Pelodiscus sinensis: one gene and its partners. The protein of the gene in region 2 interacts with the protein of the main gene of each other region in a pairwise test. Links are inferred from orthologs where the notes say so. Each region holds a gene or a part of one and is shown on either strand. Other genes may lie near its edges.

Evidence for each region.
Region 1: the proteins of PPL (region 2) and ALAS1 interact in binary tests that used the Homo sapiens proteins (3 or more experiments, as listed by UniProt). The two-hybrid records come from large-scale screens. The link is inferred for Pelodiscus sinensis from reciprocal best matches to the Homo sapiens genes PPL and ALAS1.
Region 3: the proteins of PPL (region 2) and RAB3IP interact in binary tests that used the Homo sapiens proteins (3 or more experiments, as listed by UniProt). The two-hybrid records come from large-scale screens. The link is inferred for Pelodiscus sinensis from reciprocal best matches to the Homo sapiens genes PPL and RAB3IP.

What each region holds. Positions count from the first base shown.
Region 1 is NC_134721.1:42,250,597-42,261,307, forward strand, and holds the start of ALAS1 (5-aminolevulinate synthase, non-specific, mitochondrial), read left to right. Parts: upstream 1-6,478; 5' UTR 6,479-6,636; intron 6,637-7,218; 5' UTR 7,219-7,235; coding exon 7,236-7,458; intron 7,459-8,932; coding exon 8,933-9,151; intron 9,152-10,647; coding exon 10,648-10,711.
Region 2 is NC_134726.1:5,916,028-5,926,532, forward strand, and holds the start of PPL (periplakin), read right to left. Parts: upstream 4,305-10,505; 5' UTR 4,137-4,304; coding exon 4,075-4,136; intron 1-4,074. UniProt on the Homo sapiens protein: Component of the cornified envelope of keratinocytes. May link the cornified envelope to desmosomes and intermediate filaments. May act as a localization signal in PKB/AKT-mediated signaling.
Region 3 is NC_134711.1:64,099,676-64,109,904, reverse strand, and holds the start of RAB3IP (rab-3A-interacting protein), read right to left. Parts: upstream 4,652-10,229; 5' UTR 4,531-4,651; intron 1-4,530. UniProt on the Homo sapiens protein: Guanine nucleotide exchange factor (GEF) which may activate RAB8A and RAB8B. Promotes the exchange of GDP to GTP, converting inactive GDP-bound Rab proteins into their active GTP-bound form.

The DNA of each region.
Region 1 (10,711 bases), on a different chromosome or scaffold from region 2:
TAAGGCTACTGTCACCTGGAAAAGAGGAGAACATATCTGGCAAAAATTACTCCATCTTTCAGTAAAACTCTGGAGTTCATATTATCCTTTTCCAAGCAAACTTTAAATACAAATTAACTGCAAATCTTGGTCAAGGTCAACAACACTTCTTATACCATCTCTAACTTTCTTGTAAAGTATAACGCAACTGTGAAACCTGCTTATTATAAGAAATGCCATTTAAAAAACTCAGTTGAATATTTCTAATACAGTCAGGGGGCTTTTTTTGTCTTTCCAAAATAGACAGGATTAATATGTATGTTCTGGTTTCTGGACTTTTTATAAAGGCCATCATTTTCTTTGTGCTCTGAATCTATTAAGATTAAAATTTGCTGTTTCAATGCCTTACCTGCACATACGTGTGGGTTTATGTGCTGTTCTTGGTGATTCTGACGGAAAGGCCTTTCTTCAGTAATCTAACCCTTCTCATGCCTCTTTTGCACCCTATTCTTGGTTGCCGTAGCTCATTGCATCTTTACTAATATTTAGGCCGAGACTGTGTAAATTACGCAACACGAGCAGATCTTTGTGCCCACACAGAACCCCATTGATCTGCATGAGGTTCTGCATAGGTAGAGTTTGTTCATATGCGAAAACTTGCATTCTGTCCCTCAGATTGTAAACTACGGCAGGGGATGTCTTTTTTTTTTTTTAGTCTAGAAAATTCTTAATGCTGTCCTGGGGGCTGCACCAATAGGTCATGAGTTTTAAAGGCATTCTGCGGTTCTAGTGGAGTTAAGGAGAGTGATTGGAACTCGGAGAAATTGGGATTGGCACTTTATTTCTGACCCTGCTGACTGTACGGCAGTGAACAAGTTGCATAACTGCTCTGCATCTCTAAAATGGGCATGGCCCACTTTTGTAAAGCATCTTGAGATCAGATAATGAGAGAGATGTAAGTTCAAAATAGCATTATTTTGTGTCCCCTCTTCTAGCTTGATGCCTGTATTAAATATCACAATAGCTTTTACTTCACAATTTTCCATATGTACCAATGGGGCAAGAAACCTCTTAGGATGTGGCCACTTGTGTGGAGTTAAGGTAAAAACTTAATCCTGTCTGTAGGGCTGTGCCTGGGTTTAAGGTTTGCTCATGTTCCTCTGCAGCGAGTAGCTTATATACTGGCTTGTGCTATGAAAGCAGGAGGCAGGAAATGGTTTTCAGTTTAACCGTGTTACGGACACTATTGAAATCTCTTTTTTTAGAAGCACAAAAATCCCTCAGTGCCTACCTCGCTAAAAAGCAGGGTGCAGGAGCTCTAATCACTAATGGGTGTATCTGATTGGTGTGAGAGGTTACAAACTGGCTGTTCAAGTTTTTGTTTCCAGAAATATTAGAGAAACCTGTCTTGCAAAAGGGGAAGTGCTTCTATTGGCCTTTTTTAAAAGGCAACTTCCTTCTGACATTTTTACACTATGTTTAAAGAAAGACATCTACAGCTGTGATATTTTGGCACTCCTCCAATATCCTGATGACCCCAGCCTGGGGTACAAAACATGGATTTTTTCCCTGCTGACCTAGGGCCAAATCTTGAAAGAAGTTGTGCCCTAAACTCCAGTTACTCAAATGGGAAGCCAAGTATAATTGAGCCTCTGAACTCCAATTCACATACCAAATCAAACATTTCCCTGACAAAGAATTACTCAATATCTTGGATCAAAAGCCTGACCTATGTTACACTTGTGCCATCCCAGGGAAATCACTAAGCAGCACAAGGATTAATGTCAGGGTAATCTTTAAAAATGTAGCTAAAAATAGATCCTAAATTACAGCCTACCTTTGGGTCCTAGGGAGGTGGTGTGGGGCTGCCTTGAACAGAGAATCTTTTCTAATTGCAGGAGTCTGCATTTAGTAAGTAGAGCTGCATAGGAAACAGCTTTCTCATCCTGTGAAAATCTTTGAAAATTTTTGAAAAACTTTCACATTCTGAATTGGGACAAAGTTGAAATCTCATATTTTATTAACCAAAACTCTGGAAAGTGTTTGGTTTGGATCTATCAAAAGATTTCATTTTGATCTTGTAAACTTTTCTAAATTTAGTAAAATCTCAAAACTAAGGCAGTTTCAACTCTAAGCTAAAAAACTTCTTTTTGCAAAATGGGAGGGTTTGATTACAAACTTTTTTCCAGTAATTTTTGAATTGGGAGATTTATCAAAACTGTCCATTTTTGGCATGATGGGGACTGTTGGAAAAATGTCTAACCAGTTCTATTAATAAAGATTTTTCCATTTTAGAAATAAAAGTAAATAAACCCCCAAAATGAACTTAGATCACTAACTCAAAATGTGCTTTAACTAAATCCTCTTTATCACCTTTAATACACTTCAGCTTTTAGTGTCAGCTTTATTGGTGCACAACACCTAAACTCTGAGAATACAATAAAATACAATCACCTTACTTTTTTTCTCCCTTTCTCTGTATTCCTTCCTTTCTGCAAAAAACAGGAAGGTAGAATTGTGGACACACTCCATACCCAGTTACTCTCCTGGTTATTAAATACCCTGACCTTCCCAATGTGACACTCTTTGGCAGGCCTCCGACCTAGCAAATGCAGTGGAAATCAAGTTAACTGTACTCCAAAACTATTTAACTTTGCTCACCTCCACTAAGCTACTAGGTTAAATATTGTTCTTTCACGACAGATATTTTACATGTAACTACAGGAGGTAGTGTTCACAGCATATATGAGGAGTCTAGTTTAAAACCGCAGAATTAAAGATTCGTAAAGCTGAACGTTTTCTAGCCAAGTTACAAAGATCTCCAAATAGCAAAAGTAATTCTAAACCTGATCCAACTTTTTTGAACAGTATCCATCAGACACCCTTTACCATTCTACCCATTTTTGTTTAATTGGTCAGATTTCTTTGCTTTATTTTTCATAGATTCACCAGAAGGAGCCACATTTATAAAGATAAGGCATAGTTGACAAATTCCAAATAGGCTAGGGAACTTTCCTGTTCGCAAACAAATTAATATTGAAGATATGCCATTAGTGGAATTGGATTCCAATTAGGCAAAAAGAGCAACACTCTCTATGCCTGGATGAACTAGATGAGGAATTGTTTGCGGAGGGGACTTGTTCTGATACTGTTAAGCAGTGAACCTATGTCTTGTTTTCATGCCTCCATCTAATCCATGCAAAAATAGTTACTGTGGTTCCATGTAAAATGTATTTCTGATATGACTGTTTTTATTCAATAAAACAAATCACAAACTTGATTTGAACATTTTGAATGCACCTAACTTTGAGTATGACCAGGTGACAGGCTTTGATAAAACATTTAGTCCTTGTATTCAGATATTAATATATCATTCTCATTTTATTTCTCCTTGTGGTAATTTAAGTGTAAATTGCCATTGTTGACAATGGTCTATAATCTGGTACACAGTGTTTTTGCATTATATAGCCAAGAGTGAGTTCAAATCCTACTTCAGCTTTATTAGTATAAAAAATGTTGACCAATGTAGTGTAAGATTCTTACAGCTTAAGCAAAAAAGGCATTTAAACACTTTACATGTAGAAAAAACTTCAGTCATACAACATTATTGATCAACAGACTAAATTCCATCGGGGATGATGATTGATTTTTTTTTGGAGGGGGACTGTACAAGGTTTAAATGAGGACAGAATTTTGCCTTTTCTCCCTCTTTCCCCAGTTCAGAGTTCCTGGACAGCTGGAAGATGACTTTGCCCTGATTCTTAATAACTAGCTCTTATTATGTAGTATAAAGTTGGCAGTTTTTTCAACAACTTTCGGAATTCTAATATAGCCTCTGCCACTAACTCATTGCATGGCATCAGGCAAATAACTGGTCCCTTTTCTCAGTTACAAATGGGACTTTAAGGATCAGCTTGTAACCTCTGCATGTCTCTTAATTTACATTTTTTTCAATCGGCAGATTTTCAGGTGTTCACACCCCACCTCAATTCTATGTAGGTTCCTGCACCACCCTCACTTCTATGATATCCAAGCTTCTTCTCAAAGTGCATTACTCTTTCATATGAGCTCTGCTCTCTTTGACATCTAAATGAAATGTTCAGGCTTGTAAAGGGATGTGCTGACCATTGTTGGAAATGGCTTCCATATCTTTACTATTTCTGATCTCCCTCCCTATCTCACTCACCAAAAAACAATATAGTATTAGTCAAAGTAACATTATCTTCCATTAAAATCATCCACACAAATACTTGTGCTGTTAAATAAAAACAGAACCAAAACTGCCTGATCATTATCCGCCACTATCAATGATCACTTCCACACGAGGCCAAGAAATTACTGAAAGTTTGTGGTTTTAATAGTCTAAAATAAAGGCTAGTGCCAAGTAAACCACTAAACATAATATATAAAAGGGAAGATTGCACCGATGATCCAAGAGTGAAGTATCTACTAAACCTTCAAAATAACTGACAGACTGCAGAAGAGAAGAGTGAGGAGGGATGTGATAGCAGCCTTCAACTACCTGAAAGGGTGTTACAAAGAAACTGGAGACAGGCTATTCTCAGTGGTGGCAGATGACAGAACAAAAAGCAGTGGTCTCAAATTGCAGTGGGAGAGGTCTAGGATAGATATCAGGAAAAACTATTTCACTGGAGGGTGGTGAAGTGCTAGAATGGGTTATGACAGTGTAATCTCCCGGTTAAGGGGTTTTTAAGGCTAGGCTCGGAAAAAAAAACATGTCTGGGATGATTTGGTAGGTCCTGCTTTGAGCAGGGGGTTGGACTAGATGACCTCGAGGTCTCTTCCAACCCTTAACTTCTATGATTTTATGATATGACTCTAAATTAGAAGAATGTTATTTGTCAGTGAACTTGCTGCTGTCATTTGTTTCAATGGTGTCTATGAATTCCCCACCCCTTTCCTGCTCCACACCCTAACACAATGGTACAGAGCTGCTTGTTTTTAGTGTTAGCATCAGAGTTTAACAGTAAGTATCAATGTTTGAACAAACCAAAGTCTTGCTTACATTAGCTGTAATGTGAGTGAGGTAAACAATAAAGATCCGGGTATTCATGATAAATGTTATTTTTCCTGAAGCATAATTCAAAATGAAAATATCTCATATTTGAGGACTGGGAGGAGTGTCACAGCAGAAGTAAATAGTATTTGGCATGGCTCTAGTGCTTTTTAAAAAAAAGTCAAAGGACTTAAAATCCCTACATGTAATAAGTACGGCAGTGTCTTGCACTAGGGATGGAAGGACATGAGAAGTAACAGTACAAGCAAAGATAACAATCCTTCAACAAACAAAAAACAGGACTATGTAGCACTTTAAAGACTAACAAGATGGTTTATTAGGTGATGAGCTTTCGTGGGTCTGACCCACGAAAGCTCATCACCTAATAAACCATCTTGTTAGTCTTTAAAGTGCTACATAGTCTGATGTAGCTGAAACAAGAAACAGGACTAACACAGCTACATTTCTATAACTAATCTTCAACAAATAGCTTCCCACTCTTCCTGCATCTGTGATCTGGACTTAATAGAAGGTGACTATCTCCCTCCAGTACATAGGCCTACCTGGCAGTAGGGTCAGGTGCCATATTCCACCTGTGTGTCTTGCTGTCCAATCTTAGATCTACACGTGGCTGATGGGATAGTTTGGTGGGAGAAGACAAGTATCTGTCCCCAACATCTTTCACCCTGAAATTCCAAACCCTTTAGTGACTAGCAGCAGCGCTTGCACTGTCCATGCTCACAGAGCTGTCTCCCTTTCGCAGTTAGGGTGTGTGTAGACTACAGGGTTTTGTCAAGAAATGTGGACTTCTGTCGACAAAACTATACCTGTCGCTACACTACCGCCCAGTCCCGTCGACATAACTCGGCAGGAAACCCCATTCTACGAGGAATAACGCCTGTTGCGCAGGGAGGTCTGGCGACAGAAGGCGTTCGAGCAGCTACACTGTCCTGTGCATCCACACTGTGCGGGCGGCAAAGAGCTTGCTCTGTCGCAGCGGGGGGGAGGGGGGGTAGTCTAGACGCTCCCAGAGCCTGTCCTCCAGACGTACCCTAAGTAAAGCGGGCCCTGAGCCCAGCCTCTCCCCCAAACATGCCCCGGGAAGGGGGCAGCGGGGCCCTAGCCGGGGGGGCGATTCCCAGACCCGTTCTCAGCAGGGAGCTGCCTGTATGACGCCCCGCCCCACTGCCAGGCAAAGGCTGAGTCCCGCGGGCCGGGGCACGGCAGGAAGGGGCCTGCGGGCTCCCGAGCCAGGCCCTGCCGCGCCAGGGGCTCGTGTTGCTCCAGCCGGCCCGGGGCGAGGCGCCCGCAGCGAGAGCTTTCTCCTCAGCCCCGTTCCTGGGCAGGCGCGAGGCGCCTTCCGTTCCCTCGGTCTGCCCCGCCCCCAAACGGCGCTGCGTCACTTGGCCCCGCCCCCCGAGCGCGCAGGCCGGGGGAGGGGGGCGGGGCGAGGGGGCGAGCGCGAGCGTCATAGCGTAGGTAGGCGTCGACGCGCGTGCGCTCCCGCTGTGTGTCCGGGCAGGGGGACAGCGGGCAGTCGTCCTGTTGTGCGCCTGCGCGGAGCGCGGGGTGGTTATATAGGGAGCGGCGGCCTGAGGCGCTCGCGGAGGGACTCAGGAGCAGCCGGACAAGCGGCCGAGGCGAGTGGGGCCCCGGGCTGGGGGGAGAGCGCTCCGGCCGCGGCTCGCCCGGGCAGGGCAGGGCAGGGGGGCGGGTTCCCCGACTGCCGGCTCCGGTCCGCAGCGCTCGGGCCCCCCGCCCGGGGACCCGCCCCGCTGAAACCGGGGAGGGGTCTCGCTGCCCCCCCCCCCCGACATTGGGAAACCCCGTTTGCCCCTCGGCGTTGCCGGGCACCCTCCCCCTCCCCCCCCCCCCCGCGCGGGGCCGGCCCCGGGTGCGAGCACCAAGTAAATGGGGGGGGGGGGGGGAATGCTTGAGCCCGCCCATCGCAGTAACCTCCCGGTCAGTCCGTTCCCTGCAGCTGCCCCTTTAAACGCTCCCCCTCCCGCCCCTTCCTGTGGGCAGCCTGGAGCGCAGCCCCCTCATCGCCCACCCTGGTTCTGATCGCTCCCTGGGTCTCTGCTTCATTCATCGCACCGCGGGGCTGCCACTGCGCGGCTTTCCCCCCGCGGGGGCTTGATTGTTGTGTGTGTTATGCAACCTGGCAGTCTTGTAGGTAAGACATTATCTAACGCTGTTGCCGTTTCTGCATCTTGCTACAGGATCCAAACACCCGAAAATGGAAACTGTTGTTCGCCGCTGCCCGTTCCTGTCACGGGTATCCCAGGCTTTTCTGCAGAAGGCTGGCAAGTCGCTGCTCTTTTACGCTCAGAGCTGCCCTAAAATGATGGAGGTTGGGACTAAGCCTGCTTCCCGTGCCCTGGGTACTTCAGTTGCTCACTGCCAACAGGCCGAAGAAACAACTCCACCTAATGACAGTCAGTGTCAATTTTGTCTTTCAGGTGCTTAAAATTATGGTAAAATAAAGCTTCCTCACCATAAGGCTTTTTAGATTGTTTAATACTAGCTCCCAACATTTTCCTTTCATTTATAGGGCTAGGAGAGGTTAGAACCTCTAAATTGCCCCTGATTTTGCTCTCTCAATGAGTGGCGTGAAAACCCAAAAAAGTTTACCAGTAAATATCTCGCTGTTGTTCTTACTCTGTATTGCTTATATACTCATTCAAATGCCTCAGGGTGTGTTGGGATTTTTTGTTTGTTTTTAAAGACTGGTCTGTCTGGTTTGTTAAGCTTTTCTTTGAAAGAAAACTACTTAATCCTGTACGATTCAGTGTTGCACTTGGAATAGGGTTATGAGTTTGGAATTCTGACTTTTGGATTTTGTAATTCATCCAAATCTTGTATGTCTTCTAATGCAATAGAAGTGTAAATGAAAACAGCTACGGTATGTAATGCACACTGAACAACCGAAAGGGAAATTGTGGGAGGTGGAACCTAGCTGTTTGAAAAACACACCACCTTCCAAAAACTAGGAATGCAGAGTATGCTATAACATTGCTATCTTACTGCGAAGCAACGGTGAAAAGGTATGCAATAAGATAAAAATGAATTGGGTCCCTGGGGCATTTGCTAAGCATACATTAAATTATTACAGGGCAACATTAAATGGATATAATCAGCTCTTGATAGCTAATTTGCATCCTAGGTACATTATTATATAATATTCCATCCTTTTAACGTGCATTTAATGATGATAGGGTTACTTGTTCTGTAACATTTGCAGGGTGCCATTTTTATTCAGTAGTTTTTCACAATAACAACCTTTGACTTATGTAATAAAAGCTTCCTGCTTAAGTAGAAGAGGAAGAACTTTAAGCACCCTGGGAACTGCCCAGCCAGAAGGAAACGTCTGGCAATTGTAACTGCCTGAACCAGTTTACTTCTAAGTGTTGTGTTCAATCTTCTCTTAACACGTGTTGCTTATCAATTTAACAAATACTTGCAAAGAAATCAATTGGATTATCTTAAAACTATTGTTCATACTCTGCAAACTAGAGCAGTGTCTGAGAGCAAAGGTCTGCTGACCATAACTATGTAATTGGTACAAATCCAGGTCAGTGGAGTTATCAGCTTATGATTTATGGCTGTTATTGACCCTGGATGAGAATTTATAATAAATAATAGAGAAGGGGCAGCTGGAAAAAGTTTGAAGTTGAAATTAAACTCCTACACAAAGCATACTGGTTCCACATAGGGGGAAGAGGCAATAATGCTGAACACTTCAAGAAAACTTGAGTTTAAATGCTAATCAGATATTGACACTTCATATTTTGTGATTACACAAGTATAGATGGTTCAGTTGCACAATTCTGAATAGCTTGTGGTTTAGCGTCAGTTGTCAGAGTTTTTGTTTTTAGGCAATCCAGTCACCTCAGTTCTTGGTTTTTAACCATTATTTTGTTTCTCCTATCTAAGAGGCCAAAAATTCCAAAGATGTGTCCCCTGAGAAAACCAATGGATCCCAGCTCCCTACTGGCCATCCGCCTGCTGTTACTAGCCAGAACACTAACCAGAGCTCTGCCACTAAATGCCCTTTCCTGGCAGCTCAGATGAACCCTAGGAATAGTAATGTTTTCTGCAAAGCCAGCCTAGAACTCCAAGAGGATGTGCATGAAATGCAGGCTGTAAGGAAAGGTATGTTTTTACGTATGCTGCAATAAACAATGAAATATAGCCTCTTGTAATACCTGGAGATAAAACCTAAGTCTGACAATAGTTATCTTATAGGCCAGAGGGAAGGCCATAGGACACTGCAACAAAAAGTCTTCATTGTAGAATATAAGAATTTTAATGTGCACATGTAGTGCTGTTTGTAATACTCAGAGGGTGCGTCCAGACTGGCAAGATTTTGCGCAAAAGCAGGCAAAAACTTGCCAGCTGTCTACACTGGCCACTTGAATTTGCGCAAGAGCACTGACTTTGTAATGTACAAAATCAGTGCTTCTTGCGCAAATGCTTTCACACTCCCGCTCGGGGGAAAAAGCCTTCTTGCAAAAGAATAATTGCGCAAGAGGGCCAGTGTAGACAGGAAAGAACTGTTTTGCACAAAAAAGCCCCAATGGCTAAAATGGCGATCGGGGCTTTCTTGCGCAAAATCACGTCTAGACTGGCCACGGATGCTTTTGCACAAAATCTAGACGCGCTTTTGCAGAAATACTTTTAACAGAAAAACTTTTCCGTTAAAAGTATTTCCGCAAAATCATGCCAGTCTAGACGCAGCCAGTTTGTGTAATCTTTCTTTATACCAACTGTTTGTCTACATGTTTTTTGTAGCTGCTTTTAGTGAGACTATGTTCTAGTTGCAAAACCTGTCAAGCTATAGCATTCTTTGTCAGTTAGCTTGAAAGAATAGCTCTTGCTATTGTTTATAAAAATTCAATGTTGTTACCAGAAAGTCTTACCAGTATATAGAACACATTAGCATTTTCAAAGAATTAAGCAGCTAGACTGGAAAGCATAAAACAGGACACTAGAGACAAGTAGCAATTGAATAGAATCAGCCTCCCTTCCACCCTGGACCATTTTTTCTTAATACTTTGGTAGTGCCTAATGGCCCTGATCAGAGATTGGGCTCACATAGCACATGTACAAATAACTGTCCATACCATAAACAGAATGTTATTTTCAGATTAACTGAGTTTTGTCAAAACTCAGTGTTAAAGTCTTTTCTTTCACCAATACCTATAAAGTCTCGCTGCTTCCTCTGGAAGAAATCAGTTTGTTCCTTACCCATTCACTCCAGCTTTTCCAGTCTGCTGCAAGCCGTAGTAACAATGATCCAAAGCTTGGAACAGCAGGGAAACATTTTTACTTAGAACCAAGTATGTGTTTTAGTTGTATTAGCCTACCTACCAAATTCTTAGGTCAACTGAATTGGTCCCAGGCACTTTTTAATTGGACCTCAAATGTTTGTTAGACAAGTTCTGATTTCACAAGATCTGAAGAGAGTATACAGTGCATTCTCTTCAGCTTGAGTCTTTGTGCTCTGCTCTTGTCTCAACTATGATTGTTTTATTAAAAAATGTAAGATAGTGAATTCATAACTTTTCTTGGCATACAATCTTTTTATATAAGATGTTGTGAAACTAACTTAACTCACTGGATTTCTTTGTAACATCTCAAATGTACAGAGTTCACTAAAACGCCAGTGAATCCCACCATGATAAACATCAAGACTTCTGGAGAAGAGCAGAA
Region 2 (10,505 bases):
GGTACCATGAGGGGACCACCTCACCTGAGGAGGCGGGTTTGGCCCTTGAGAGCTCATGATTCTGTCTATCTATCTATCTGTCTGTCTATCCCCATATACCCCCTCTATCTGTCTGTGTGTCTGTCTATGTGTCTATCTATCTATCTGTCTGTCTATCCCCATATACTATCTGTCTGTGTGTCTGTCTGTGTGTCTATCTATCTATCTGTCTGTCTATCCCCATATACTATCTGTCTGTGTGTCTGTCTATGTGTCTGTCTATCTATTTTTGTTAGTCTCCAAGGTGCCACAAGCCTAACCATCGTTGTTTTGATGAGCCCTTGTCATACCTGGTTACTGGGCATGGCAGAGCTGGATGCTGGCATAACTTCCCTGGCCCGCTCTAGGACCGCGCCTTAACCCTCACCCAACCAACCAGGCATCCCTGTCTGTGGAGGGAGCCAGTCCGTGCTGCCCCTCCCCGTTGCGAGGTTGGTTAAAATCGTGAGCTTTTTAAACAGCGTCTTTTTCGTCCGGTTCTGGGTCTCTAGGGCACAGTTCAAGCCTCTCTCCACAACCATGATGGCTAAATGTGCTCAGCAGGACCCGGGGGCTGACGAGGGTTCGTTTGTGCCCTTTGAGATCAAAGCTGAGGGGATGTTAGCAGGAACCCCCCTGGGGAGGCTGGTGCTAAAACCTGTGTCCCATCCCCCGAGCCCGGGCCGTTTAGCCTCACCCAGGCATCCTTCAGCCAGGCCCTCCCCGCCCACTGGCCTCCAGCAGAGGAGAGGGTGCTCCCAGGTGGCGCATGCTTGAGCCCTCTGTTCAGCCACCCGCCTAGGCCGAACGCTCGAGGGACCACGTTGGCAGGGCCGAATGTCTCCATTGGCCGTGCCTGGCTCACATTTGCGATGGCTGTGGAGTCTGGCTTGTTCTCTGGCCTGAATGCTAAGAGCAGGTCGGACAAACACCTGTCAGGGCTGATCTGGATCAGGGCTACTCAACATGTGGCCCGTGAGCCACCTGCGGCCTGCTTGTTTGCAGCCCGTGGTACGGTTTGGGTTTACGAAGGGGTCAACATGCAGCCCGTGGGCGGGATCCGTTGAGCATGGCCTCCATTTTGCGTGGAGGAACACTGGACCTTCATTGGCCCCTGTTCCCCTTCAGCCTTCTGGGGCTTGAATACATTTGCTTGCTTATAATCTGAGATCTATAAAACGGGGGACAAGCCTGAAGTCTTTATGGAGGCTTAGAATCTAGCCTCTGTCATAGTCTGTACTTGGCAAGAGAACTTAACTGCTGCATGCTGCACCACTACTGAGCTAACAGCACAGACTTTGCCCAGTGTAGGGTTAATTTCAATAGAAAAGGAAAAATGTCACCTTGCCTTCCTCAACCTTAGAAGTAGCAATCAGCCTACGAAAGCCCCAGAGGAATTTAACGGCCATTGTTGATTAGCTCACAGACCCTGAGCTCTAGTATCCTGGCATCCCCAGAACAACACACTTTCTCCAAGTCCATCTCCTGTCCCTTCCACTCAGGCAGGTCCACTTCTCTCCTTGAGATCCTCTCCACTTGGCCTATGCTGCTCTTCATGCCGGCACACCCCAATCGTCAGCGGCTGGGATGGAACCCGGGACCACTGGAGCTTAGTGGATTCTGGCGCTCCACTAAGGTTGTGGAGCAGACTCTGTCTTCTCTCTGGGAGTGGACTCAGTGCCACTAAATGGGACTGTGTGCCCCACCCAGCCAGTGTGTCTGGGTTACAGGTCCATCATCAATTCAGGAGAAAAATAAAACCAGCAGAGAGAGGTTGTGCTTCATTTACATTTCCAAAGCTGCATCAGCTAATCTCTGCTGCTGCCTTTCACTTGAGCACAAAGCAAGGGCTTACTTTCTCAGTGCCATTTCCACACACGTTTGGGGACCCCCAGTTCAGCTATGTGGTTCTTTCCATCTCTGATTACCCGCATGTGTAGGCAAATCGGGATCACGAGAGGTGCAAGTACTCTGTTTGCACCTGCAATTCATGTTTGCTGGTGTAACACCCCCCCCCCCATGCCTGTTGGAAATATTAACCCCTCGCACTCCATTTTCTTGCTTGACTCTGTCTTGATTCCTTTTATATTATATTATATTAATTAATATTATAACTTAGCACCTGGTGAGCCATGGCCTTTAGGTACCTCCGGGGGTGAGGTGTAACTCATGCAGCCAAGAATGCGTTTTCCAGCTGGTTCCTTCCCATTCCTCTTGAAGTGGGTGTGTTTGAGTTAATGAACGAGGCTGAGTATAACACAAACACAGAGGGCTGTTCCAAGTCTCCACCCTAGATGCCTCTCCAGAACAGACCCTTTAAAAAAGCAACCCACCCATGCAGACGCCGCGCTTGCTGGACCTCACCAGCGTTCCATAAAAGGAGGGTATCAGGGGAACCCTTAACAATTCCAAGAACAGTCACTTTTCTGAACACAGCAAAAGAGTTTCCACTCAGCTTTGCCGAGGAATCGGGCCAACTTCACTTTCAGTTTACTCGGGGGGTTTGTAACCAAGAATGGCATCTGCCGAATGCGTGGAAACTCTGAGCGTGCCCAGGGATGCAGGTGGTGGGGGGAGAAAAGAGGCTCCCCTGAGCTCCTGGAGGAGCAGGAGGTCGGAGAGAGAATGTAAGGAGAAAGGAGAGTGAGCGTTGTTAGCAAAGAGGGGGACAGTGAGGGAGGAGAAAGTCCTGGAGGTGGGAGCAGAAGGTGGGGCTGATTGTGGAGAGTGTCAGGCATCCTGCAACAGGGAATGTTGGGTGGGGGATCCTAGTTGGGGAAGGAGTAATAGAGCGGAGGTGGGGTTAAGTCCTGGCAGATGTCATTCATCTGTTGCCCCAAAATCAACATTCCGAAAGAGGCTTGCCCTGCGGTAGAGGGCCTGATCATCACAGGGGATGGGATAAACTCTGGACCTGCTGGGAATCCCGGCACGTGGGCTGAGAAACTCCCCCAAAGGAGACTGGGAAAGATTAGCTAACAAGACCTCACGGAGGAAAGAGCCTCAGATCCAGTCCAGCAAGCTGGTGTGGCTGGGGCTTTGTGCCATCTGTTCTCCTGAAGAAACCGTCTCCATCACTAGCCCAGCTGGGCCCATCCCTGGGTGGCAGCAACAGGTTGGCTCTCTACCCTTGCTGGCCCTTAGCACTCCTATTGGACAATCACCTGCCCCATAGTGACTGGATGCCCCCTCCACAGGCCTGTTTACCACAGGGTCCCAGTACGTCCTAACAGACACAGTTCATTGCTAATAGATGCTGCTAGTCAGGCGCATTGCCAAGGGCTTAGGGTCTGATCCCTTCAGCTCCTATTGAAATCAATGGGAGCTTGAAGGCACTCAGCCCCTCTCAGGATTGGGCCCTCAAAACTTCCCTCTGGGGACCACCTCACATTTGCAGCACTTGCCCCGGTAGCCCCGTGCAGCGTTCGACCGGCCCTGCCTCTTGATTTCCCTCGCCCGCTGGCCAGAGCTGGCCCAGCGCCCCGGTGGGCGTCTCCCTTTGGCTCTGGTCCCCTGTGCATGGAATACATTAATGCTTGTTTATCAAATCAGCGGGGCTTGCTGTGTAAATGAGGACGCATCGAGACATGTTCTGCTGCCTTGGCGTTTGCCCTGTGGAGGGGGAGTAAATAAGGCGCATAGCAGCGCTGCGCGGAGGAAGGGGACGGGGAGGCCGAGCCGTGCGGCCGCTCCCCGGAGAGATTACACTCTGGAATGTGCCAACAACCCCGACCTGCACAATTTTTCAAAGCCAGGAAGCCAAAGGAAACAGCAGCACCCGTTCGCCTGTCCTAGCCCGGTGCAGCCTCCGGAAAGCTGCTTGCTCGCTGCTGCGTGCCTGTGTCCTTGGCACCTCTCATGTCCTGCTAGCACCTGTCTCCGGCCTCTACTCTGACGCCTGACAACAGAGTGGCTCTGTTCTGCTTTCTCCAAGGATCCCTTTGCTCCTTGTTTCTCTGCCACTTAGGAATGTGTGGTTACCCAGCTCTGGGAGAGCCTGAGTCTTGCAGGCTGGCAATGCCAAGAGCCCCGTAGGAAGGAAGCCGGAGTACTCACCTCTTCTTCTGCACCGTGGGGCTGTATTTCCCTTTATTTCTTTTCCTGAAGAGAGAGTTCATGGTGATTTCCCTGGTGCTAGCAGCTGCCTGAATGCAAAGGGCTGGCTGCCAGCTGGCGAAAGGAGGCTGCTGCTAGATCCTGCAGGTACAGTGCTCGTCTGGGGAAGGAAGGGACAGGGAAACCGGCAGCCGCCTCCAGCCCTGCTCTCTGTGCCTGCTCCAGGGGTGTGAGTTCTCCCACTGAGCGGGGTAGGGCTCTCCCAGAGAAGGTGGTGCTTACCTACGGCACATGTCACTGACACAGGCGGAGCTACACGCACCTCCCCAGCCTGCTTTCGCTGGGAGCAGCACAGAGGTTACTCCAAGGGACCACGAGCAGTATCAGGCTCTGCGTGTGTGCGCTGTGCGAGGGACAGCTGGGGCTTACTTCAGCCCCTCACAGGAGGGAAGCATTCCAGCCTGTTACCAGAGGCAGGGAGCGACTGTCCAGCCGAATGTGCACATTACAGTCGTGTATCTGATTATTTTTCCGTTCCTGGGGCACCCTGCAAAACTGGGAAAATAAGCTCTGTTTGCCGGGAGCTGGGAAGGGCTGACAGGGGTGGGATCACGTGATGATTCCCTATCGCTGTTCATTCCCTCTGGGACACATGGCACTGGCCACCATCGGAAGACAGGATGCGCCTGACCCAGTGTGGCCGTTCTCATTTCTTAACAAGTTACCGGTTGACTGCAATCTTTCACTCAACCCAAAACGAAACACTTCACTCCGATGCGGAGTTTTTTAAAGCCTTAAAAGAAAAGGAAATGTCAAAATGTGCCCATGAAAGCTTATGATACGATCTATATATTTTTGTTAGTCTCAAAGGGCAGGTCTACACAGCAGTTAGAGCACTCTTCCTCTGACTTTCCTTACACCGTGTAAAATGAGGGTTACAGGAGTCGGAGTAAGACATTATTTCCACGTGATGTCGAAATAACTGCCTGTTGTATAGACGCAGATTATGTTATTTCGGAATCACCTCAGTGATTCCGAAATAACGCTGCTGTGTAGACATGCCCTAAGGTACTACAGGATCATTGTTGTTTTTAAGCTCTAACAGGGCAACCGAAAAATGGGGAAACTGATCACCGGGTCGTGCTTCCACACAATGTGGCATGTATATAATTGAGCAATTAGGAGCAACTCTTTTGTTTGGGCTTTGTGGCCATGTGAGACTAAACACATGGCTACAGAATTGTGTAGCCCTCACCAGGGCCGAATCCAGCGCTAGTTATGTCCTGAGGGCAGGTCAGTGCAGGATTCGGCCGACTGATCCTGTACGCTGTAACACCTCTGAAATCAGGGCTGTTCATCCGGCATGCCCCAGTGAGCAGGAGCTCAGAATTAGGTCTGTTCCTTGGGCGCTGTGTAGGATGCAAGTGTTCAAACCGGTCAGGGCGGTTTGCTTGAAGGCAGAGCAGGTGAGTGGTTAGAGCAAGGCACAGGGCTTGCTTTGGGTGCTATCGCTCCTTTGAGGCAGAGTGTAACAGGGCAAATCGGCAATGGAGACATTTTTCCAAAGAGGCGAGGGGTCTTCAGCTGCCTCTGTGCTTGGGCGTGAGACACGGGCAGAGGCAGCTTCGGAGAGGCACAGCAGGCACGGCACACTGAGTCCAGCTGGAGTTGCGGGCGCTTAGTTCCTCTGAAGATCAGGCCAATGTGGGGGCAAGTTGGACACCCACCAGGAGCAGAGTGGCTGAGAATCTGTCCTTACCCGGTCTGTTCCTCATGGCCTGGTTGTGGATGGGGGCAACTGCGAGGGATCATAAAGTATAATGACACCCCCAAAACCTCACGGCAGTGAGCTCAGAGCTCGGTTCTACAGACTCGGGCTTGTGGGGCTTACAAGACAGCACCAGAACCAGCCGTGTAGGCATTCAAGGGTGGGTTCCAGTTTGAGCTGGAACATCTACATGGCTATTTTTAGCACCATAGCTTGAGACTTGCCACAGTGGCTTTGTTTTTCTGGGGGTTTTGCCATGTAGACGTGTACGTAAAGGGCCCAATTCTCGTTCATTGTAGAAGCTCACGGTCCCGGCCCCAGCCCTAGTGTCAAATTCCTCATCAAACTTTCCAGGGGAGTCTTCTAAGAGCAGAAAGAGTCCGCTCCTTTTCCCCAGCCTTGCCAATCATCTACAGCAGAGAGCTGCGGAAGGCAGCCCAGGCATTCTCCCCGCCTCTGTCTGTTGCTGGAGTATGTCAGCGCAGGGAGAAAGGGGATAATGAATGACTTTGCCAGGCAAAAGGAGGCTGGGTTGTTTAGCTATCAGCTCATTTCTCTGCAGGGAAACATGAGCTCCAAAGGGCTGCCTGTTGATTTGAATTTAATTCTCATCCTGTTAAGAGAGCCCTGGGGTTCTTCCTGGATGTGCTGACAGGTGACTCTATGCTGTAGCAATGGTCTCTTTTAACACTTCTGTTAATTAATGATTTAAACCCAGCTTGGCTGTGAGCCTGAAACCCACAGCTGATCCCTAATCCAGTGGCTGATGGAACGTGCGTAACCTTGGCACGCAGTCCCTGCGGTGCCCAGTGCTGGAAAAATGCAGCCTAAGGCTGTCCCATGGCTGCCCTTTCCATGTGCAAGGTGTGGAGCTGTGCACTGAGGGGAGTCTCTGAGCCGTCTATTACACCATTGCGCTTCCTGGTCTTTCATGTATCCCTCCTCCCAGCACTATTAGCTGCATAGTCCAGCTTTGCAGCTGAGGCACATGGAGACTAGGTGACTTGCCCAAGGACACAGCAAGTCTGTGGCGGAGCAAGGACTCAACCCCTTCCTCCCAAGTCCTTGGCTAGTGCCCTATCACTGGCCCGCCTGTCTCTCTGCACACATGCAAGAGAGCATCAACTAACTCCATTGCACCATTTCCCCTTCTTCTCCGGACCCCAGAGCGGCCTCCAGGGGCCCAGGATCTGCAGGAGGCATGACCAGGAAAAGGGCAGGTGAAGGAGATGTGTCCAAACCCTGAAGTCTGCTGTGAAAATCTCAGCTGAATCACTGAGCAAAAATTGGCCCAAGCCTCCAAGTCTTTGGCTGCTTTCAGTGGAAGTTAGGGACCGACGAACCTGGGAGGAGCTGGGCCTAAGTCCCTTGTCCGTGGCCTGCCAGGCAGTCCGTGGGAGAGGGGGAAGGCAGGTCCCTTGCCAATGCGTTAGTAATGCTGTGTTTCTCATTAGAGCAGAGTAAATGCTGCGCCTTGGGGCCTAGGACAATTTACACCAGCCAAGGATCTGCCTTCCCATCTTTCCCCCGTAAGACACAGCATTGACCCCTACTGCTCAGTCGGGGAGCCCACAGCCTCCATGGCCCCCACACAGGGGCCAGCTCTGTGCTCTCAGAAGGGGCGGGGCCTTGGGCAGAAGGGGAGGGGCTGGAGCAACTAGCCCTCAGTGCCACCTGGACCATAGGCGTCCCCTCCCTCCTGCAGACCTCTGAGCCGCCCGGAGCGTGTGGTGCAGCACTCCGGCAGTGATTTAAAGGGTCTAGGGCTGTGGCAATAAGAACAGTGCTAGGCCCCTTGGAATCACTGGGCCCTTGGGCAATTGTCCCCTTTGTCCCCCTCTCAGCGGGCCTGTGCTCAGTAAATAAACAGCAGCAGCTGCAATACCGAGCAGCGAAATGAGCGTGCCACACGCTGGTTTACTGCCCCCAGAGCTGCTGCTCGGGGTTCCTGATCCAGGTCCTTCCCAGCACCCCAGCCTGCGCTGTCCCTCTCCCATCCCCCCCGGGCTGTCAGTGACACAGTGCAGCTTGCAGCTGTGGCTAGCTGGGGAGAGAGCATTTCATTAGCCAGCATTTTGCAGTGAAAGGGGGGATTTGAGGTGCTAGCGGGAGGTGACGTTGCTCGCCCACCTGAGGGGAGCAGGACAAATAGCAGGAGGTGCTGCCACTCTAGGGATGGGGGTGGAAAGGAAAGAAATGATTCCGGGGAGGGGAGGGGAGGGGACAGGAGGAAACTAGACCCAAGCCACAAGGGATGCCGAGAAAGGAGCTGGCTCTGCAGTGGTGTCAATGAGATCAGAATCTGCTCCGAACGTTCAGTCCTGGACGCTCAGGAAAACCTCATAGCCCCTTTGCAAACCCATCCCTCCGGCACCGGCTCCACAATCCCCCGGGTGCTGAGGTTCCGCTTTCCAGCCTGGCCATTCGCTCCCCTCCTTGGAGCTGGGCAACCCGGAGGTGTCGGTTTCTCAGTCCGGATCGTCCACGTGAATCCCTCTGGGCACCGAGGGGCATCCCTGCGCTGGCGTGAGTCAGTGAAGCTCTGCAGCCGTCATTGCAGGAGCTGTAGGATTTACCTCAGCGAAGACGAGGCCCTGCTGTGCTAGGGGCTGTACGAACATACACGGCAATGCCTGCCCCACGCTGGCCATCTGTGTTCACTTCGCTTATTTCCATTGCTGGCTCTCACCACTGACAAATGAAGCACGCGGGTCTTAGGAACTGAGCTCTTACAGCCTCATTTCAGCAGGGACAACGCTGGCTCCGTGCTGGCTGTGGCTGCAGATTTACCTTCAAGGCCACCAGCATGGATTTTTATTCTAAATGGGGGGTGTTATACCCAGTCCTCTGAGGGATCCTGCTTCAACCCATCATCCCCGCCCTCTTAAATCTCTATCTATGGCCTCCGCTTGCTGCCTTTCCGACCCCCGCACAGAGGGCACAGTTTGTCCCTCCACCTGCTGCTCGTGAGCTCTCTGCCACCAGCGTGGTGCGAGGTTTCCAAGGCCGTTGGGACTTCTCCAGCTGCGGTCAAAGGGCAGTGAGATCAAGAGGAGGCAGAGACACTGAAGTGGTCCAAGGGACCGTGTTCTAGCCATTCCACAAGGGGGTAAGGGAAAATGGACGAGGGCTGCAATGGGATGTTAGCACGGGGATGACGGGCACAGCCGGGGCACCTGCCACTGGATAAACATGTCAAGGGATAGATTCCGATCCTGCTGTAAAACCCTTTTTACGCCTGGTGAAATGCCCTCAGCACAGGGGGCCTCTTGAGCCAGCACAGCGATGTCCTCACAGCTCTACACCATGCAGTCCCTAGCATAGGGACATGGCGGGGGGAGGGAGCTGACCGGTGCACTCTGGGTAGTCTGGGCCAGAGGGCCAATACCCTGAATTGGCCCAGGAGGACTTAATGCCCTGTGGAGGGAGGAAGTCCCACCCCCTCAGCCATACTGAGCATGCTCTAAGTGCTGGAGCAGTATAAAAGGGAGCAGCTCAGCTCTGTCTGGGCTGGATGCTGCAGGAGAAGAACCTGCTGCAGGAGTTCTAGTGACACCCCAGCTAGAGACCTGGATGAACGCACTGAGCTGCCGGAGGAGCCTCAGGAAGAGGCTGGTGCTGTGGAACCGGAGGACCCCGAGGCTACGTGGAGCACTGCAACGCTGTATCCGGTAGGAAGTGACCCAGGGAGGGTGTGTGAACGGTATCTCCCACCTGAGCAAGCTCAGCATGTGTGGTGCGATTCTCTGCTGTGTGAGTGATGGATCGCTCTGCCACTGACAGGGTTGTGGGTTGGGGCCCAGTGGAGCAGGGTGGTCCCCAGGCCCCTACTGGGGCTACTGACCCTAGCCATTGGGCTGTGCTGCCTCAGGACAGGGTGTACATACAGTGTGACACCAGCCTAGAGGAACCCTGAGGGATTGCTCTAATGCGTAATGGGGACCAGACAGGCCCTGAGCCAGGCCTGGAGTTAGCAAGACAGAGTATCCTGAAGCCATCTTAGCCCTCTCTTTTCACCACCTTGGGCTGTCTCCCCCCGGGAATGGAGCTGCCTCTTTGCAGAAGCTCTGGGGTCACCTTGAGCCCAAACAAGAGACAACTGGTTGGGGATGCCATGGTGAGGCCTTAGTTGCAGAGGAAGGAATGAGGCTGAGATGGACATGCACCCCAGCTGGGTCTGCCATGCGTGTTATTGCAATGGGGCTGCAAATGCTCACTGTTCCGACTCCCAGGAAACAGTGAATAGCGTGTGATGCATTGGTAGCCTGCATCTGTAGCCAGCAAGTTGATCTACTTTTGGTGCAAACTCCAACCTCTTTAATACCCCTAGATGGTCTTGTCAGGCCTGTTTGCCATGTGTTGCTAAAATCTAAGCATCCCTTGGAATCACGGACATGTAAGACAGACCTTGAGGTGTCCTCTAGTCCATCTGCCTGAGCTCAAGCAGGACCAATTATGCCAAGACCGTTCCTGATAGGTGTTTGTCCAGTCTGTTCTGAAAACCTCCAGCAATGGAGATTCCACAACCTCCCTTGGAAGCCTAGTTCACAGCTCAACTGGCCTTAGAGTTAGGAAGGTTTTTCATACAGCTAACCTGAATCTCCCTTGCTGAAGAGAAAACCCGTTACTTCTCCCCACTCTTCTTTTTGAAAGACTAAACATG
Region 3 (10,229 bases), on a different chromosome or scaffold from region 2:
CACCTGGAGCTCAAATTAGTGATTTGGAATTTCAAACAAACAGCTATAAAGGTTATTATAATTGTCAAGTCACAGAGATTTGTTATGATCAATCTTGTTTTCCTTTCATTATTTAAAGACTTGCCACTCTGCAATCACACCTCTGGGGTCCATGCAGTTGCCTATAATCAGTGAAGTGAGTGTGTGTTTGGGAAATAGAATTCTATTTCCAAATTTATTTTCAAGTCTATTTCACTTAGAAATAATCCATGCAGGCTGCATGTCACAGCGTTTCTCCAAAGTACAAGTGTGGTGGCAGTATTCTGTGGTGGGTTTATTTTGAGATGGAGTAAAGCTGCAGATTTTGATGTGTTTACATCAAGCAATAACAGGATAAACCATGTTAATTCCCTCATGAAGTCTGACCAAATCCTGGCTGCTGGTAGCTATGAACTTTTCCTGAAGCAGCAACTCCAGATACCCTTCTGTCTGCAGTGTGGCTATTTTTCAGACCATCCATATAAACTGACTAGCCTACTCCACTCATAAACATGCTGTTCAGTTACTATTCATTTGAATACTTCAGCTGCATACACTGCAGGTTTCCCTCCAGCAGCTTAAAATAAGATCTACCACTGCCAGCAGGATACCACAAGAACATAAAGGCCTGAAATGAAAAAAGGCACTTTTGGCAGAAAGGGCACTACACACACAGACACACACCAAATGGCAATTAGTTATGAAACTTTTATAAAACAGAATGGAGGCTAAAATTACCACTGTCTCTGCCCTTTTATAACTGCAATTAACATCAGTGTGTCCAGAGACAATGTGAGGTCTGGGGCATCCCTTCTCAATATGTGTTGGTTCATTTTAGAACAGTTACATTTTAGGCCCTGGAAACTTAAAATTTAGAGGCAGCAAAGGGGGAAGAAGTGACTAGACAAGTAGTGACTTGACTACCTGATAAGCATATGCTTATTGGGGGTAGTCAACTACTCAACTAGTCGCTTACATCCCTAACTTTCATTGCCAAGATACAATCAGCCCCCACAGTAATAATGGGCAGGGCTGATTAAGCAGTTGTGGGGAGATTACAGGCAACTTTGGTTACACCGGGGTAGCACTCAGCTCTCCAGGAGCCAGTGCACAGAGAGCCAGTTTTTAAGCCACCTCCCCGCATGTACCAGTTCCCATATCCCAGCACAGGGCAGCAGGCAGCTTCCTGGGAGCCGGTGCATGCTGGGAGCTGGCTTTTAAGCCCTGCGCGTACTAGCAGCCTGTATATAACCATGAACGTTAACTGATAAACTCGTGCTTATTGGTTAAACTTGTATACAGTTAAGCTTCCACATCCCTAGTTAACATACAGCAGCCCAAGATTTAAGAAACCTCTACACTGTGAATACTCATCTATTTTAAGTAATGTGACTGATTTCCAATATGTTTCTCCTCTCAGATTTACACTGCTTTGTAGATTTTAGATCTGATACCACTGACTTCAACAGGTCATTCTTCCCTTTCATCTTTGGTTTTGTGGTTCATTACAACATTTCTGCTGTTAAGACAAAGTTCATGATTAAGAAACAGATATTTTAATTAAAGATTTTATCTTTTCTTGTTTTTTTTTTAATGGAAAACAGGGTTAACATATGAACAGAAGTATGATCCAGAATTTAGTTATTACTGAAACTGACAGTTTTAAATTTCAGAATTTTGAATATTATTATAGTATGCAATTTGAAATAAAAATCCAAAAATATAAATGCCAAAATTGCTTCTTTGACAGACATAAGCATTAAGGCAACTATAAAAGTAGTTAACAAAACTTTTAAAATTATTAAAAACAGAATTATAAATAAAATGAATACAAGCTGCAAGAGTACTAATTACATTATTCTACTTCAATGAAAAATAGGTCCTTTTATTGAAAAGGACAATCCTAACAATTCTACAGGAAATGTTTCCCTTTTTAAATATATTGTAACAAGATTTAAGAGTGCTGGGTATTACAATGTCAGCTGCAAGGTGTGTGCACATTATTTATTAAAAGCGAAAGGCAATGGTAAATTATTTAGTCTACTTTGCTCACAAGGTAACATTAACCTAGTGCAATGGAAGCGTAACCTTGCTAAATGAAACAATAATAATGAAAGGAATGATGTTGCCACGCTCACAATACCTACAGTATGTGTAATGTAATAAAATGCAACATAATATTAAAAGGATATTCATGCTTAATCAGGCTTCAGATTTTTCCCCCCTCATATTCCCAAACTCCCACTTTGTTAAAGAGTATGGATACAGTTGAGCAGATGACATCAATACAAGTTTCTAAATAAACAAAGTTTACTTCTACTTCTAAAAAGAGGCCGATTATCAATTTCATAATTACTTCAAATTGTAGAGCTGGTTTGGCATTTAAGCTACCATACATACTTAAGACTGTGTAGAGACTAGAGTATGCATGGGACTAGAGTAAACAAATCAAATACAAAGCAAAGGTAAGTGAACAAATATGTCAACTGTGAACTAAAGATGACAATGCTTTGAAACGGAGTAAAATATTATTGTAGTTATGTATTTTATGGCTACAGAATTGTTCAGGATTTTGCCCCTTAGGGTGATTGTTTTCCAATTAACATCTGTTTATATTTCTTTTGAAACTAGTACGGTATCATAAAAAATGTTTATAATGGTTTCCTGTAATATCTGATCACAAGTGGTCAGCTCCACGATCATCATAACCAAAATCTGTGTCTTTTTCTTGATCCAGCTCAACTGCATTATGAAATTGAGGTTAACTGAAATCCTCACTACTTAACAAACTTAACAGTGCTAAGAAGTGATCTGGCATTAACCTCTATATCAGGTTTAGCTATTCTTCTGTAAATAAAAATACTTTATAAACAACTCAACAACCTTTATTACAACATGCAATGAAAATGTCAAGAAAGCTGAAATGCACTTTTTAAATATCTCAAGATAGTCACTTCAGGCCAGAGGATGCTTCAAACCAGAATTTCAAGGACGTTTTAGTATCAAATTGAATAGCTACAAGCCTCGTTTTCTCTCAACATGGTCAAGCCTTTTCCCTCCCACTTTTTAACAGCAGCACCTCTCTTTTCATATTTACTTCAATTCCAGATACAGATGAGGAACCTAATGCTTCAGAACAACTACAATATGCACATCTCATCAGCCTTTAAAACAACAACAATTAAGCCTCTAATTTCACTCATTTTCCCCACTGTCTTGATTTTGTTGTTCTGCTGAAATGTTAAACAATATGCAGGAATTTAAAAGAACACCATCAACTTAAAGATATCTGGCTGTTTGGTTTCATGCTAAATGTAGCATGATTAGAGAAAACCATTATTTTCAGGTTATTTACTCTGTGCATCTGACAGCTCTTTCTGTAGTGAGTTTGAGTTTTTCTTTCTTGTTTGATCTTTTATTCAACAGATGCGTAAAAGTTTCACGTACATCCCCTGAAACTAATTTGGATTTCCACTTGACAATCTCTCTTTACTCATCAACTAACATCTCAGCAAAGGTACAGATGACACCAAAAAGGAATCTAAAGAGGTAAAGAATATACAGCTGTAGAGAATAGTTACCCCACCTCACCCCAAATACATACATACACACACACACACACACACAAAACCATTTCATTGCAAGACTTGACCTATAGGCTATGTATCATGCCATCAGTATTTAAACAGCATTCCTCACAGATTTTCAGCAAAAAAAATTCTGCTGAATAAGTGATAGCACAATAGAGGCAAACATGAAACATTCCAACTGAGGGTGGAGAAAAGGTATTTGTATAAACTGTAATTTTCTGCCCAGAAGCAATCTTCATGGGCAGAAAGAGGCTTCTGTTGTCGCTGTTGTCACGTGAGTGCTGAGTCTGCAAGTGGTTGCATAGGAAGAAAGGAAAGGCTCTGTTTGGGTCACAAGGAAGGGATAAAGTGGGAGCATAAGCAGGGTCAAAGCCTCCCTTCTGAGACCAAGAGTCACGTAAACTGCTGGGGGAGAAGTTACATGGGTGCTAAAGAGAGCAAGACACGGCACTCACTACAAACCCTGCGGGGCCCGGCTGCAGAGGCTGAGTTGGGGTGTAAGGGGGAGCTGTACAGGTACAGGACGTTGGTGGTGCCCAGGGTGCTGAGGGGGGCCGAGGAGCTGTGTGCGAAGGCCAGGATAGAGGGGGCTGGCTGCGGGTGCCTGGGGCGGGCGCCGGGGGACTCTGTGCCAGAAGCTCCGTAGCAGGAGTCTAGACTCTCACGAGCGTGGGGAGGACACTGCGGGGGGGGGGGCGGGGCTCCACAGGCGCGCTGTGGGCGGGAGAGGCCAGGGCTCTGCAGAGGGGCTGGCGAAGGGAGCTCGCTGCCTGAGGGGCACGGGGCTGGGTGCCCGTGAGCGGGGCTTGCCGGTGCGCCTAGCTGGCGGGTGCTGGGGACGCAGAGGGGGGTGGAGTTGCGGGAGCGGGGGGCCGGTCCCCTCTCCACTCCCGCCCAGGGACCAGCCGCCCCCGCCTCTTACCTGCCGAGCCCCGCCAGGCCGTCCACAGGCGTCCGCGCCGCAGCTTCCCCACAGGCTGGCGCGGGGCGGGGCTCCGCCGAGTCCGCGTGGGGGGCGCATGCGCACAACACTCCCGTCCTCCCATCCCCCCCGCGCGCACGCCCCCGCCGGGTTGGGCAGTGACTGGCCAGGTGGGCGCCCCTCCCCCTGCGCCTCCAGGCGTTCTGGCCCTGCCTGGCCACTGGGAGCCCCGAGGGGTGGGGGCTGTGCCGGGCACGGCCAGGGCTCGAGGCAGCTGAACCGGGTCGGGAACCGAGGGTGGAGCCTCTCCGCTGATTTTTAACCCTGCGTTATGCTTCTCCCCCGGGCTCTTCTAGTGCTCCGGCGGGAAGGTGTCCACACGCTGCAAGGTGTTCAGCTTCATTCGGCTGCCGTTTTGACCTTGCCCCCTCCAGGTCCACACGTTTTCAAAGGTGCTGCCCATTGGGGGGCGCGCACACACAGAGGGACCTACACCATCTTCCTCTTAAAATCTAGCTCGGGAGAGAGCTCTGTGAGTGATTTTCCCGCTAAGTCGAGCACACGGGGCCAATTCTGCAGCGAGCCACATGTTGGCAACTGGGTCTTAACCTGTCACTTACCAAAACTGCAGAGGAGGCTCCACTTGATCCCTAGGATCTGCCTGATCTCGGAAGCAGAAAGCATCTATCCGCTGAGGGCTTTGGGCTGATGGGGGCGGAACCTCCTGGAGAATGGGACTAGTGGGAGAGGGCATGGGATCTGGGAGGTCTGTGCTGCTGGGGGGCTGCGGTAGCATAGGTTGCTTCAGGAGAGTAAAGTTGATGGGAGGGCAGAGGCTCTGGAAAGGTAGGATGGGGCTGTGGCTGGGGTTTTATAAGAGTTGGGCTGTTGGATGGGTTCACCCGCACACTCTGGCAATCCTTTTGGCACCAGTGCATGGCATCCACACTGAAGCAGCCAAATTTTCGTAAAATCAGCTATATCCCAAAGTCCCTAGCACCTTCCTGAAATGTATCTCCTCTAGCCCTTTGACTGTGTAGTGCACTGTGGGAGATCTTAACTGTTCACCTTGCACATGATAGGGAGTTTGAACAGCCTCCTTTCAGGAAACAGACTTGGAGGCAGCAGAGAAGAGGAAACAGGCAGAGCTTCAATGAGATGCGCTGGTGGGCATTTTGGAGGAATTTCCTGACCCGTTGAAGGTACCTGACAAAGCTTACAATCGAGCAGGAAGAGAAGAACACCCTGACATGGCAGACTCCTACTTGCTAATGCTACTTGGACATTCGGTATAACCACTGATGCCCTCTCAATAGACCAGGGATGGGCAATAATTTTAGACCAGGGGCCACTTCAGAAATTTTTGAAGTGGACCCGGGCCACCCAAGAAGGGGTGGGGCCAGGACACTTTCGTGCTTCCCCACCCACACGTAATTGGTTGCAGGGGGGGTACAAGTCTTTGCCCCTCCCAGAGAGAACCACCCGCTGTTCTAAACAACTGGTGGTTCCCTGTAGGTGCCCAGGCCCCTGGCAGTGGGAGGAGACTTAGCATTCTTCTCTGCTGCCCCCAAGTCAATCACAGCCTGGGGAGGGGGAGCATGTGAAGGCTCTCGTTTCCTGTCCCTGCCCTGCAAAGGAGCATGGCATTTGGAGTCAACCGCCAGCTGAGCAGTTGACTTTAACTGCTGAGCCCCTTGCAGGGCCAGAGGAGACTTCATATGCAACCCCTGCCCCCAAGCCCTGATTGGCCTGGGAGCAGAGGGAGCGCACGAAGTCTCCTCCCATCCTTTCCCTGTTCTGCGAGGAGTATTCAGTGCTTAGAAGTGCTGTGCCCCTTGCAGGGTGGGAGGAGGCTTCGTGCACGTCCCCACCCCCAGGCCAATCAGGGCTTGGGGGCAGGAGGAAGCGAGCAGTCTCTTCCTGCCCTGCCAGGACCATGAAGTGCTTCTAAGCACTGTGCACTCCTTGCAAGGCGGGGGCAGGGTAGGAGGAGACTTTGCGTGCTTCCCACTGCCCCCAAGTCTTGATTGGCTTGGGGGTGGGAGTAGTGATCAACTTGCTTGGCAGGCCAGATTCTGCCTGCAGAGGCCCTTTTGCCCACCCCTAACATAGACTGATACAGGTCCAAAAGCACAGACTGGTGGGATCACATTGTCAAATGGAGTTGCGATGACCAGAAGTGTGTCCAGAATTTTCTTATGAAGAAAGCCATATTTCTAGAGCTTTATGGATAGATTGCCTTCACTCTGCAGTGTAAAGACACCTGCAGCAGGTCACCCTTGCTGATCCAGAAGTGTCTTGCTATAGCTGTTAAGTAACTGGCTATCTCTGACTGCTGCAGACCTGTTGCTAACTAGTTTGGGGTTGGGAAATCAACCCTGGGGAAAAGAGGGGTAGAGGTTTCTGAGTCAATCAGATATCTGGTTTCCCCCAGGCGAGGAGTATAAATTTTATTCCTGCAATACTTATTGGTTTGAGGTTTCCACACTGTGTTGGGGCTATTGATGTGACTCATGTGCCCATAATTTGTCCTCTTCAAGGAGCAAAAGTACATATACCACAAAGGTTTCTGTTCCATTGTTAGGCAGACATTCATGGATGACAGTGGTTGATTCCTGAACATTAAAATAGGCTGCACTAGGGAAAATGATGTCATGGTTTTTTGCTGCTCAGAAGTGAAAAGTTATTCTGGAAGACGCCAACATACCAACCTTTGCCATGGCTTATGAAACTATACTCTCATCTAAGAGGCCCTGGTAAAAGTTTAATTAACAGTCTCAGCCATTGGTTGTCACCTATGGACTACTTCTGTCTGAAATGGACTAGATTTTTAAATGAAACACATTTTTACTTCATTCCCACCCCACACATGGTTCACTATTTCCAGGCAGCTCGATGACAATTTAGTGGTTACAGAGCAAAATATTTACAGGCATTGCAATGCAAGGTTATTACATTTAAGAAACTGGAATGGCCCTAGCTAAATCTGTACCTTTCCAACAAAAATACACTTTCAAAGTGTTCTTTTACTGTTTATATTTCCCAGTCACCTTTTTTAATTTCATGTGGGGTGAGGGAGGAAGAAGGAGATGCCAATATGGTGGCATACAAACTGCCATTAGTTGGTACATGCTGCTAGCTGGGATTTCTCAGAAATTTTTCATTGGTTCACAGAGCAGAAGAATCCCTCCAACTACTGAATGAATAAACATTTAAATGGAGCCAGAAACTTGCTGGGCTTGGGCAGCTTTTGTCCCTTTTGTGTCTGCTGCAAACTGTTCCTCTGGGGTGAAAGGAGGCATTAAATAGCACTGCTAATGGGCCCAAAATGTGCTGCTGTGTCTACTTGTCCTGTTCCAAAACTTACTCCAGGACAAGTTTCAGCAACTGAGTGACTTCATTGTTGTCTTCTTTCAGTGCTGGCTCCCATCAGTCCCCATGCTGGATTCTGGAATCAGCAGGGCCCCATCCCAGCAGACCAGGTGGTTCTGCACAACTCTTGGCTCCAGACTGGGAGTAGTGCACACACAAACTCCTCATAAAACTGGCATAATGTTGGTGAGTTGCCCAGTGTGTGACTCTAGTCCCTGGATTTTTCTATACTAGTTCTTGAGATGCTTAATTCTCTCCCTGTGCTGGTCACCAATCCAGTAAGGTTGAAACAGTGCCAGCTTTTTCACAGTCTGTTTGTATGTGTAGTCATTGCTGATGTTCTTAATTTGACTGGCCTCTTTTAACAAAATCTGGCTTTGTTCCCACAACCATAAAGCAATGCATTTTGTAAGAAGCTGCTTCTGTTCAGTCTCTATTGCATACACTAATGCCTCTCTGATGGTGAATTTGCAATGTGGTGGTCAGAATTCAATGGAAGGTTTCGAGCTTACTCACCATACCGTTGTTGTATGCCGAGGGCAGGTCGCTTCTGTTTTCACTAGAGTCAAATGGAAATAGTTGGGATGCAGAAGACAAAGAAAGTTGGTCCACAGGATTGTGGGATACCTTTGGTGGACTCTTAAAACCTGATCAGAGTGGGTCAGGCTGTGTCTTTACAGCAAAGCAATAGGGTGTGATCTCTGGATCATAGCTTGTTTGGGATTTGGACCATCCAGTCCTGCAGAATCCTAGGACCCTAAATCTGAGCCCCAGTCTGATATATTTGTGGGTATATCTACACAGCAAATTAAGCCCAGCCTAACACCCTTTCTGCCTACACACAAATCATGCTAACCCAGTACTAGGAGCCAAGGGTGGAGATTCAGAGCAGGAGGGTTCATGCCCTATTGCATTGTAGTGTAGATCCTACTGGATTGCTGCTCTGGCAGACTGCCAAATGTATCCCACAATCTCCTGGGCTGACTTTCTATGTCATCTGGTCAGTCAAGCTTTCCCACCCTAGACTTTTATTTGTGGTGCACAGTGACCTCATTTTGAGAGGACACTAGGAAGTCTGGAATATGGGTGGTTGGTGGTAGGCCCTCATAATGCAGTGTGGATGCTGGAGCATCCAGTTGAAACCCAAGGCTCAACAATTCCTAACCTGGGGTTACGATTACTATAGATGCTCAAGCTATAGGTTAACAAATGGCATGGTCTGCTAACTTAAATACTATTAATCTTGGGCTCGCAGTGTAGACATACCCCATGAAGAGGGGCTTGGGTTCTAGCTTGTGTTCAGCGTGCATTTAAATTGCAATCTCAATATATCCTTACTGACTGAAGAGTTAAAGCTCCCTGGAGAGCCAGTGCCAAAGGCGAACTGCCAGCCCATACACACATTGTGAGCCAAGGCCTCCCCTGTGAGGCTACACATATTGTTGCAGAGCCCACAATCAGGGAACATACCAGTTCAAAGTATATTGTTAAACAGGTTCCTGTCAAGGATGTTAGCTGCACTATCATTTTCCCAGCAGCCATGACTTTGCTTATGTCTATTTACAATTAAATGTGTCTTTTTCAATGAACGTTCATCTTTCTAAATGTGTCTGAGACTCAGCCTATAAAAATCATCTATCACATAAGATCTGTTTTTAAATAGATGTTTAAAGCAGTTAATTTTAATTAGATAATGCATCAAGAAATGTATTTTTAGTAGTGTCACTTTGAACCACATGCATTTCATACTCTGCAGTATGTAACTATCTGATAGTTTCTGAAGTGTGTATAGATAGCAAAGTATGAGATTTAATTATTTTGACAATATAATTCTGTTAGTGATCAATATTTGCTCAGCCAAATGTCTTCAAAACTGCATTGTCTTTTATTCTATTTCGCTGTTTGCAAACTAATTAATCTGGTTCAGACTTCAGATTGTGGTGCCAATTATAGACATTTCAAAGGATTAATGACTAGAGGTAATCCTATAGTCCATAGATGGGAATGTATAATTAAGAGGAGGTTTGTACTTTCTACTCAGTATTCTACTTCCACTTGTAATATCTGTTATACACCCATACTTTTTATAATCTACTTTTCCTCTAATGCACTCTCTATTTTGGCTATCTTCATGCAGCATTGATTGGATGTTGTTCTAATTCATTAATATCAGTGAATGATACTACTTGGTAAAAGGTTGCAGGATCAAGGAAAGAAACCTAACCTCTTAAAATCTACTATTGCTTTCTTTGAGGTCCACCTTTTTGTAACCCTTACACTCATTTGAAGTCTATTGCCTAGCAAAACCATGTTTCCTGCCTTGAAGG